Linked DNA regions of Cricetulus griseus. The protein of the gene in region 2 interacts with the protein of the main gene of each other region in a biochemical or structural test. Links are inferred from orthologs where the notes say so. Each region holds a gene or a part of one and is shown on either strand. Other genes may lie near its edges.

The links.
Region 1: the proteins of Mxd1 (region 2) and Max form a complex in vitro, tested with the Homo sapiens proteins (4 studies listed by BioGRID, with this or other methods). The link is inferred for Cricetulus griseus from reciprocal best matches to the Homo sapiens genes MXD1 and MAX.

The regions. Positions count from the first base shown.
Region 1 is NC_048598.1:126,586,545-126,590,145, reverse strand, and holds the end of Max (protein max), read right to left. Parts: intron 3,386-3,601; coding exon 3,262-3,385; intron 2,785-3,261; exon of another isoform or gene 2,684-2,784; intron 2,037-2,683; coding exon 1,849-2,036; 3' UTR 563-1,848; downstream 1-562. UniProt on the Homo sapiens protein: Transcription regulator. Forms a sequence-specific DNA-binding protein complex with MYC or MAD which recognizes the core sequence 5'-CAC[GA]TG-3'. The MYC:MAX complex is a transcriptional activator, whereas the MAD:MAX complex is a repressor.
Region 2 is NC_048601.1:58,414,364-58,418,631, forward strand, and holds the start of Mxd1 (max dimerization protein 1), read right to left. Parts: upstream 2,821-4,268; 5' UTR 2,627-2,820; coding exon 2,554-2,626; intron 2,252-2,553; coding exon 2,152-2,251; intron 1-2,151. UniProt on the Homo sapiens protein: Component of a transcriptional repressor complex together with MAX. In complex with MAX binds to the core DNA sequence 5'-CAC[GA]TG-3'. Antagonizes MYC transcriptional activity by competing with MYC for MAX binding.

The DNA.
Region 1 (3,601 bases), on a different chromosome or scaffold from region 2:
GTCTATGAAAGCAGTACTTCCTGTCAGCCAGACTGGAAAACCAAATGGAGATGCTTTCTGGCCAGAAATTCTTTTCTTTCTTTCAAAGGTCAAAGAAGTTCAGGCTGGAGCTGGGTCCACAGTAGTTAACTTGATGTTGTGGTATCTTTTTGACTTTCAGCCTTTGGCAGCTCTGCTGTTTCCTCTTTGTCACTGGAATTCTCTAGAAACTGAAAAACCCTGGCCAATACCAGCCACCTCTCACACGGGACACTCCTTACCAGGAGAGTAAGAGCCACAGTTCTGAGCCATCAATTCCTCCAAAGAGCATTGTTTATCGGGAACTGTTGCCACCAACTGATTACCCATTGCAAGCCTGAAAGTTGCTTCCTACCATCCACTTAGCCACTTTCAGGCTGACACACAAGGGAGAAACAGGTATAGTTACAGCCGCTCCTGGCTCTGCAGGCTCCAGTGAGAGATCTCTGCTTTTCTTTCAAGTTTCCAGAGGCCCAGTAGCTTCCAGAAGGCTCCTCCCTCAACTACCTTGGCCATTGCAGGGGCAAGAAGACACCACTACCAAAAAGGATAAAATAAGTCTTTATTTATATTCTTATAGTAAAGGGGGAAGCCTTAACTTGCAAGACAATTCTTGGGCAGTATGTACAACATACTTTTTATTTCCATGGAATGGAATCAAATACCGACTGAGACTACAGAGTATACACTAGAAATCAGCAAAATGCCGGCAACAGAGTAGGAAAAAGACAAAGAAATGAAGCCTAAAGACATGAAACCCTTCACTGGGATCTGCTGACCACAGCCAGAGCCAGGGCTGGATCGCACAGTGGCGACAAGTTCCAGGACCAGAGGGAGGCAAGTAGGGCAGGGAGGCTGTGCTGGGCTGTGGGTTTAGTACCAGGTAAGTCGCTCTTGGTATTTACATACAAAAGTTGGCTCTATTTCTTAGAAATACACACAGAAAGAAATGAAGATTTGATCATTGCTTTATGAATCTGTCGCTTTACAATATCGACATCATCAGAAATAGGGGCATTTCATTCAGATTTGAATTTCAGTAGCAGGAAATAAATATCAAAACATCATCACTGGCCCTTAATACAAAACCTCTACCCCACCTAAGACTCCCTCCCTGTCCCACCCACAAACAGCCACCCCACCACTCCTGGGAGGCCATTTCACTGCTGCCATCTCCTATACATACCAGTGTCACGTGGCCTTCTGTAAGGCTGGCTCTGCAGGCTTAAACAACTGAAGAGTGAAACATGCCAAGGATTCTGCAGTTCTGTCCCCGCTTTCCTTTTATACCACAAACTTCTTCAAGAATCTGGTCTTTCAACAGGATCGATAGCTTTTGCAAAAAACAATCCTTACAGAGGAGGGGGTTAATTCTGATTACTCCAATCTGGTCATCTTGTCAAAGTAGAGCAGTTCAGAGAGTCACAAAGTCCACCAAACAGAGGTGAGGGGACTGGGAGGGGCCCGGTGCAGCAGGCACCCTCCAGGCACACGCTCTGAGGGCTGGAGGAGCTGGGGGTGGGGGGGAACACCACGTACACAGAGGTCTGGCCGGCTGTCTGTCCTCCACAGAAAGAGCTGCCAAGTTAGGGTGTTTTGGTTTAAAATTTCTGGTGGGGACAGGAACCCCTGAAGGGAATACATTTAAAAATAGTGGACACAGGGACCGGATGAGAGCTGTTGTCCAAGAGCTTCTATGCAAAAATAACAATTAATAAAGAGAAAAGGAAAATAAAGAGTCTTTCAATGGTTTCAAGGGTTCTAACGAGGAACTGAAGAGGATGAGACGATGGAGACGACAGTTTTTATTGCTGGCCTGCCCCACATGGCTTAGCTGGCCTCCATCCGGAGTTTCTTCCTGCTCTGGGGCTCTTCAGGCTCGGACTCTGAGCTGGAGTCTGAACCCCCATCGAAGGCAGAGATGGTGCCGCCCTTGGCGTTGGTGTAGAGGCTGTTGTCTGAGGAGGGGTAGTTGGTCTGCAGTTGGGCACTTGACCTTGCCTTCTCCAGTGCACGGACTAAAAGGCAACCAAGGGAGCATGTTACCACCTTCTGGAGATCCGGAGAAAACAAGTTTCAGATTCAGGGTCCAGCCTGTTCTTCCTAAGGGTTTGCTTGCTGGCCCCCAAGGCACAGGGTGGCTCAGAAATCATTCCCTTCTGGTGGCTGTTCCCCCTTTTCCTTCCCAGCTGGGCTTACGGGCCCAGCACACATGGCCAGCCACTCTGCTATACCACCCTGAAGAGAAGGCTTGTGATGAGACACCGTCCTGCCATGGACCCAGCAGAGAGACCAGAGCAAGAGTTCCCTGTTGGATGGAGCAATACAACGACAGAAGAGAAGCTAGCCTAGCAATGCCAGGCTCCATGAACGTGTGAAGGCCCAATGATAGCAGGAAAGGATGACAAAATATATTGGGTCAAAGAAAACTTTTGGCTTGGCTTTTATGAACAAAATCCACTTGGAATGACAAGCTGGACACTTGGAAGCAAGTCACCAATACACACAAAATACCTGGGCTTTTCAACAGACACCCCTACATGCAGGCTGCTTGGCCCATCATCCAACCCGCTGCCACCACCCACTGCCCATCCCTTGGTTCAGCTCAGCTTGAGCCTGGAGGATCAACCCTTCATGTTATTTATTTTATGTGAGATGTTCTAACCCAGGTGGTTACTTGCATTTCCTTTTACTTGCATCTTCCATGAGGGAGGAAGAGAAGTGAATTCCCCAGGAACAAAGAACTTGATCAGCTCTCGCTTTCCCCTGTGGTTGTAGGAAAAGGCGGGTGTGAGCATTGGAGAACAGCAGGGGCCTGGCCCATAGGCTGCCCTGATTGGACTACTATTGACAATGGGGAGGGCTCACTGTCCCTGAACTCCTGGAGACTCTTGTACTTACATGGCACATTCTACTCCAAGGACCTCAAAGCTCTGTTCAGATACCTGACACCAGGTGTGACCCTTACTGCAGGCAGAGCACCTGAGCCCCAAGGAAGGGAGAGATCAGGCCAGAAAAGATACAAGCCTTTGGATGTTCAACTCCCTAGCTCCTCCATCTCCTCACTGGAGGGTCTGGTCCTTCCTCAGGATGGCGCTAACACTCAACTTCGAAGGCCCGTGGAGCAGGGCTGAGGATGCTTCTGAGGCATGGTCCTCTGGCTCTGACCGAAGGCTCAGGTGGGAAAGGCCCAGCCTGGCCGGGCACAGCAGGGCCAGTTGCCCCACGAGCTTGGCTGCTCACCTTGTTGCTCCAGAAGAGCATTCTGCCGCTTGAGGTCATCAATGTCTTGCTGGTGCGTGTGGTTTTTCCTTCGCATATACTGGATATACTCTGTTGCTTTGTCTAGGATTTGGGCCCGGGATGCCTGTTGCAATATGAGAAAAAAAACCATGGGACAGAATAAAGACCAAGTCTGCATAGCAGGAGAACCATGTCTTTCCCTGGCAACAGCATGAGAAAACAAAGGCTGAAAACAGGAGGGTGGGCAAGATGGAAAAGCTGAGGAAAGAGTAAGGTCTAGCTATGGCCTTTATCCCAAAGTGCCTCCTGATCCACAGAACTTACCTACACAAAGCTCAGC
Region 2 (4,268 bases):
TTATTATTAATTTTTTGATAAAAGCAGTTTTAAAACAAATTGCATTTTTCAGTTCCCAGGAGGTTTGAAATAATGGTTGTTTTTTCATTTTTTTATTGTCCAAATTTCCTCAGACTCCACAAACAAAGAGCATAATATTTCAACCTGAACATGAATGTTATTGGCAAAGAGTTCTGTGAATTAGCAGTATCTCCCTGGCACTCGCATTTCAGATTTATGGTCATATGGCCCTGGGCAGAAGGTTGATTCTGGTGACCAGCTACTCTCTGATGGTGCTCTCACTCCCCAGGTGAGAGATGTGCCAACAGCCATGGAAGAGACCATGCCTACATAAAACTACCTGCTCAGACTTTAATCCTGGACTCTGAGGGAGCCTTTCCACACTGACTGCATGACACCCCGTCACTGTTAGTGAAGCACATAGACAGCTACAACAAGTCTATCTCTAAGGACAGAAAGCAAGCCTCTTAACACAACGGTTTTCAGCTTTTCCAAACCTCGGGAACTGTGGCCACTTTCCAGGAGGCTAATGGCAAGAGAAGGACTCTAGTGTTTGACTTAGCATTTCAAGTTCTCACTATACTTTTAAAATCATCCTTCTGGGACCAAGTCACTACACAATGCCTTTCTACTACCCACTCCTCAATACCCCCAGCAATCTTCCTATAAAGCAGGAAAAATAGTGTTAAGGCATTAAAGTCTAAGACTAGCAAGATGGACAATTCCTCCTAATTTAGGAGTGGTATTAATAAAGGCAAACGTGGAATACACTAGCACAGAAACAACAACAACAAGCAACACAGCAAGCCTTTGAAGTCCTATGTGAAACTGTTACAAAATGCAGCAGAGCCCTTTCTGATGCCACTGTTCGACTCATGTCAGTGTGAGCATTCTCCTCAAAGGCTGCAGTGCTCATGTGCAGCGCTACTGACTACCACCGCCAGGCTATGCTAGATGAGAGGACAAGGAAAACCCACCAGGTAATTACCAGGTCAGGTCCACCCCTCCTGTGCCTTAGTCAGGAGCGTGGCCCAGTCTGTGATTCCAACACTAAGGTCTATGGACAGGGTGAACCAAGGACAAGGTGGGTGAGTTTTAGGTGTGAGTGAGAACTTCCCAGGGTTTAGTGGTCTGTACTAAGCCACAGAGGTTACCCTATATGATACTCTATGTGCTTGTGGGAAGTTATTCATGAAGGGGAGGGATTAGGATTCTAAATTGCTGACGAAAATGTCAATGATTTCAGGCATGGCCTAAATTGAATGGCCCTAGTAACACGAACTCCTACCAACTAGTTGGGTTTTGTCTTTGTTTTTTTGAGACAGAGTCTCACTGTGTAGCCATGTAGTCTCACATGTAGCTGGTCTGGAATTCCCAGTGTAGATAAGGCTGGCTTCCAATTCACAGAGATCCACCTGCCTCTGCCTGCTGAGTGCTGGGATCAAGGATGTGCACCATCATGTCCAGCTCCAACTAGTATTTTAAGGGCAAGGAAGAGGATATAGATACAGTAACAGAGGTGAGAGGTCATTGTGGATCAGGGGCTGTGAGTTCCCAGTCATTAGCTAAACACTGCCGTGAAATCCACAGCTTTTGAGGACTAGAAGGTAATCTGTGAGGCTAACAGGAAAAGGCTGACATCCTAATGTTACTTGCACCTTCTCGAAGAAGCTCAATCACTCTGCTCAGCCATCAGAAACAGAGGTTACAACTGGGTTATCAGACAAACTACTGTATTTAATTTACACGTTAAATATAAATTTCTACCACCTGTGTCAGGCCAGACAGCTCGTTTATAAAATCTACACTATGACCAGCAAAATCAACTGATAACATGGTGCATTTTGAATGAAAGGAAACGTGCAAACTCTGTTACTTGTAAAGAAGGCAAAAGTAGTGACCCTGCTGCTATTCCCATGGAGCATGGAGTTTTGCTTTGTTCAGAGAGTGAAAAGTAGAATTAATTTTTAAAAAGGCCATAATGAAATGTAAAACATTTTCTCTTCAGTTTCCTCAACTTAAAAAGAAAAGGCTTTTAGCACCAAGTGTGCATTATCGGACCCTCAACGTATCTGTAGGACTAGAATCCCAGAGTCAACTAACCAGCAGTCTTAGTGTTAGCTACAGAGAAGGGGTACATGGAACAGTTACCTGCTACTGGTGCTGTTTTTCTTGGGCTTGTTCCTCCGTTTGAAGACATCTCTGCCCTTACTACTGTACGGCAACATGGAGGCATATCCATGTTCAGCTTCTAGAAAACCGAGGGGTCCCGTTAATGAATGGGCTCAGAGCATCTGACACCCTGTCCCCGCGTCCGTCCGTCTGTCGGAGTCCGGGGCACCGGCCGGGTGCAGGCAGGCGGAATTCTGAGAACAATGCCTGCTCTTTCCTGGCGTGGACGCCCTCGGTTCGGAGCAGGTGTGGAAGGTTCCAGCTGCTCGCCGCCCCCCGCGCTCGGCTTTTGGGGCGCGGGCCCGGGGGTTGGCGCTCGCGGCCGGCCCGCGCCCCAACCACCCCAGCGGCCGCCCGCCCGGCCCGCAGCCCGCCGTGCACCTCTCTCCCGCCGCTCCAGGTAGTCGGCCGCCTCCAGCAGCAGCTGGATGTTCATCCTGACGGCTGCCGCCATCCTGCACCCGGCGGGCCGCCTCTCCTTGCCCGCGGGTAGCGGGCCGGGAACACCGAGGAGCCGCCGCGCTGGCCAGCCAGAAGGGGCAGCGCTGGGACGGCACGGAGCCCGGATCCCAGCAGCGGCCGCCGAGTGTTTATCCCGACTCGCCGCCGCCCGCCCCCGGCCCCGTCCCTTGACAGGCCCGCGGCAGCGGTGTCCCTCATTGGGTCGCCCGCGGCACAGCCCGCCCCCGGACCGCCGCTATTGGGGAAGTGACCGCGACCCCGCCCCAGAAGCCCGCTCCTCCCGCTGGTTGGCCGTGCTTGACAAGGCCCGGACTCCGCCCCCTACAGCCCATTGGCCACAGGACTCGCAACTCCGCCTCGTGCTCCTGCCTGCCTCCCATTGGCTGATGCCGACGGCCGGGCCCCCATGGGCTCTGCGGTCATTGGGCAACCCCAGTACAGAGACTGCTGCTGCACCCGCGCCTCATTGGCCAAGGCCTCAGAAACCTCCCGGATACGATGACGTCACCACTCTGCCAAGCGGTGGCCCACTTTGGAGCCGCTGATTGGCTACGAGGCAGGAGGGCACGGGCGGAGCTCCGCCCACTGGCCGCAGACCTGTTGCCCACTGTCTCTGGGGAGAACTTCAGGCCTCGCTGGCGACCTGGGACAGATGGTCACACGTAGCTCCCACCCCAGGGTTAGGGGGAAATGGTCGGCTCCCCCAGACTACGCTTGCACGGAGTGGCCGGGTGCCTGCAGAGTAAGGCTGAACCCGAGGCCCCCGCTTCCATCCCAGAGGAAACCACTCCTGAGCAGGCCTCTCCCAAGACCACAAACCGCGGCCTGTGTTCCACAGGTACCCACTGGAAAGCTCACTCTGTAAACACAGGTCCTTGAGCAATCACGATTTTTGAGAGCTTATTCGAGACCTAAAGTGCAATGTCGACATCTCCAACTTAAACGACAGGAATAAAACAACAGGGTAAGAAGTCTGAAAAATGAAACGAGCAGGGGATTTTTAAATAAAACCTATTAGTGCTGTCAGTATGCAGTTAGCTTTCTTTGTACATACAGGTCAGGTAACCTACCTACACGGTTTCCATCCCTCAGGACAACCCGAGGGGTTTTCATGCTTGCCTACATTTTGCACAAGAAGAAAGAGGCTCAGAGACAAATAACTTTTCCTGTTCTTCCTTAGCTTGCAGAAAGACCTGAACCCCTGCCATCTCACTCACAAGTGGCCCCGCAACCGTCTGATTTGCAGTTGTACAAAAACAAAAAACAAACAAACAAACAAAAAACCCACGGCAGATACAGGATTGCAGACAGTCACAGAACACAATTCAAACTGTGGGTAACACACCACATCGCCTGGTATGTGCAAGGATCCAATCAAGGACTATATGCTGCAGACACACACACTAAACGCAGTTTTCCATGAAGGCACAGAACTTAAAAATGAGAATGTGGTAAAGAACAATTTGGAACATTTTAAAATTGTATGCTGTTTGTTAAAATTTAAAGACGAAGGTAATGTAAGCAACTATTAAATTAACCAATTTAATATTCCTAAAAATAGTCTGTTTTGGCCATTTTAACATCTTGGGTTTTGCACTTTTTTGGTTCCTCCCAAGTTTCACAGAATATCTGAC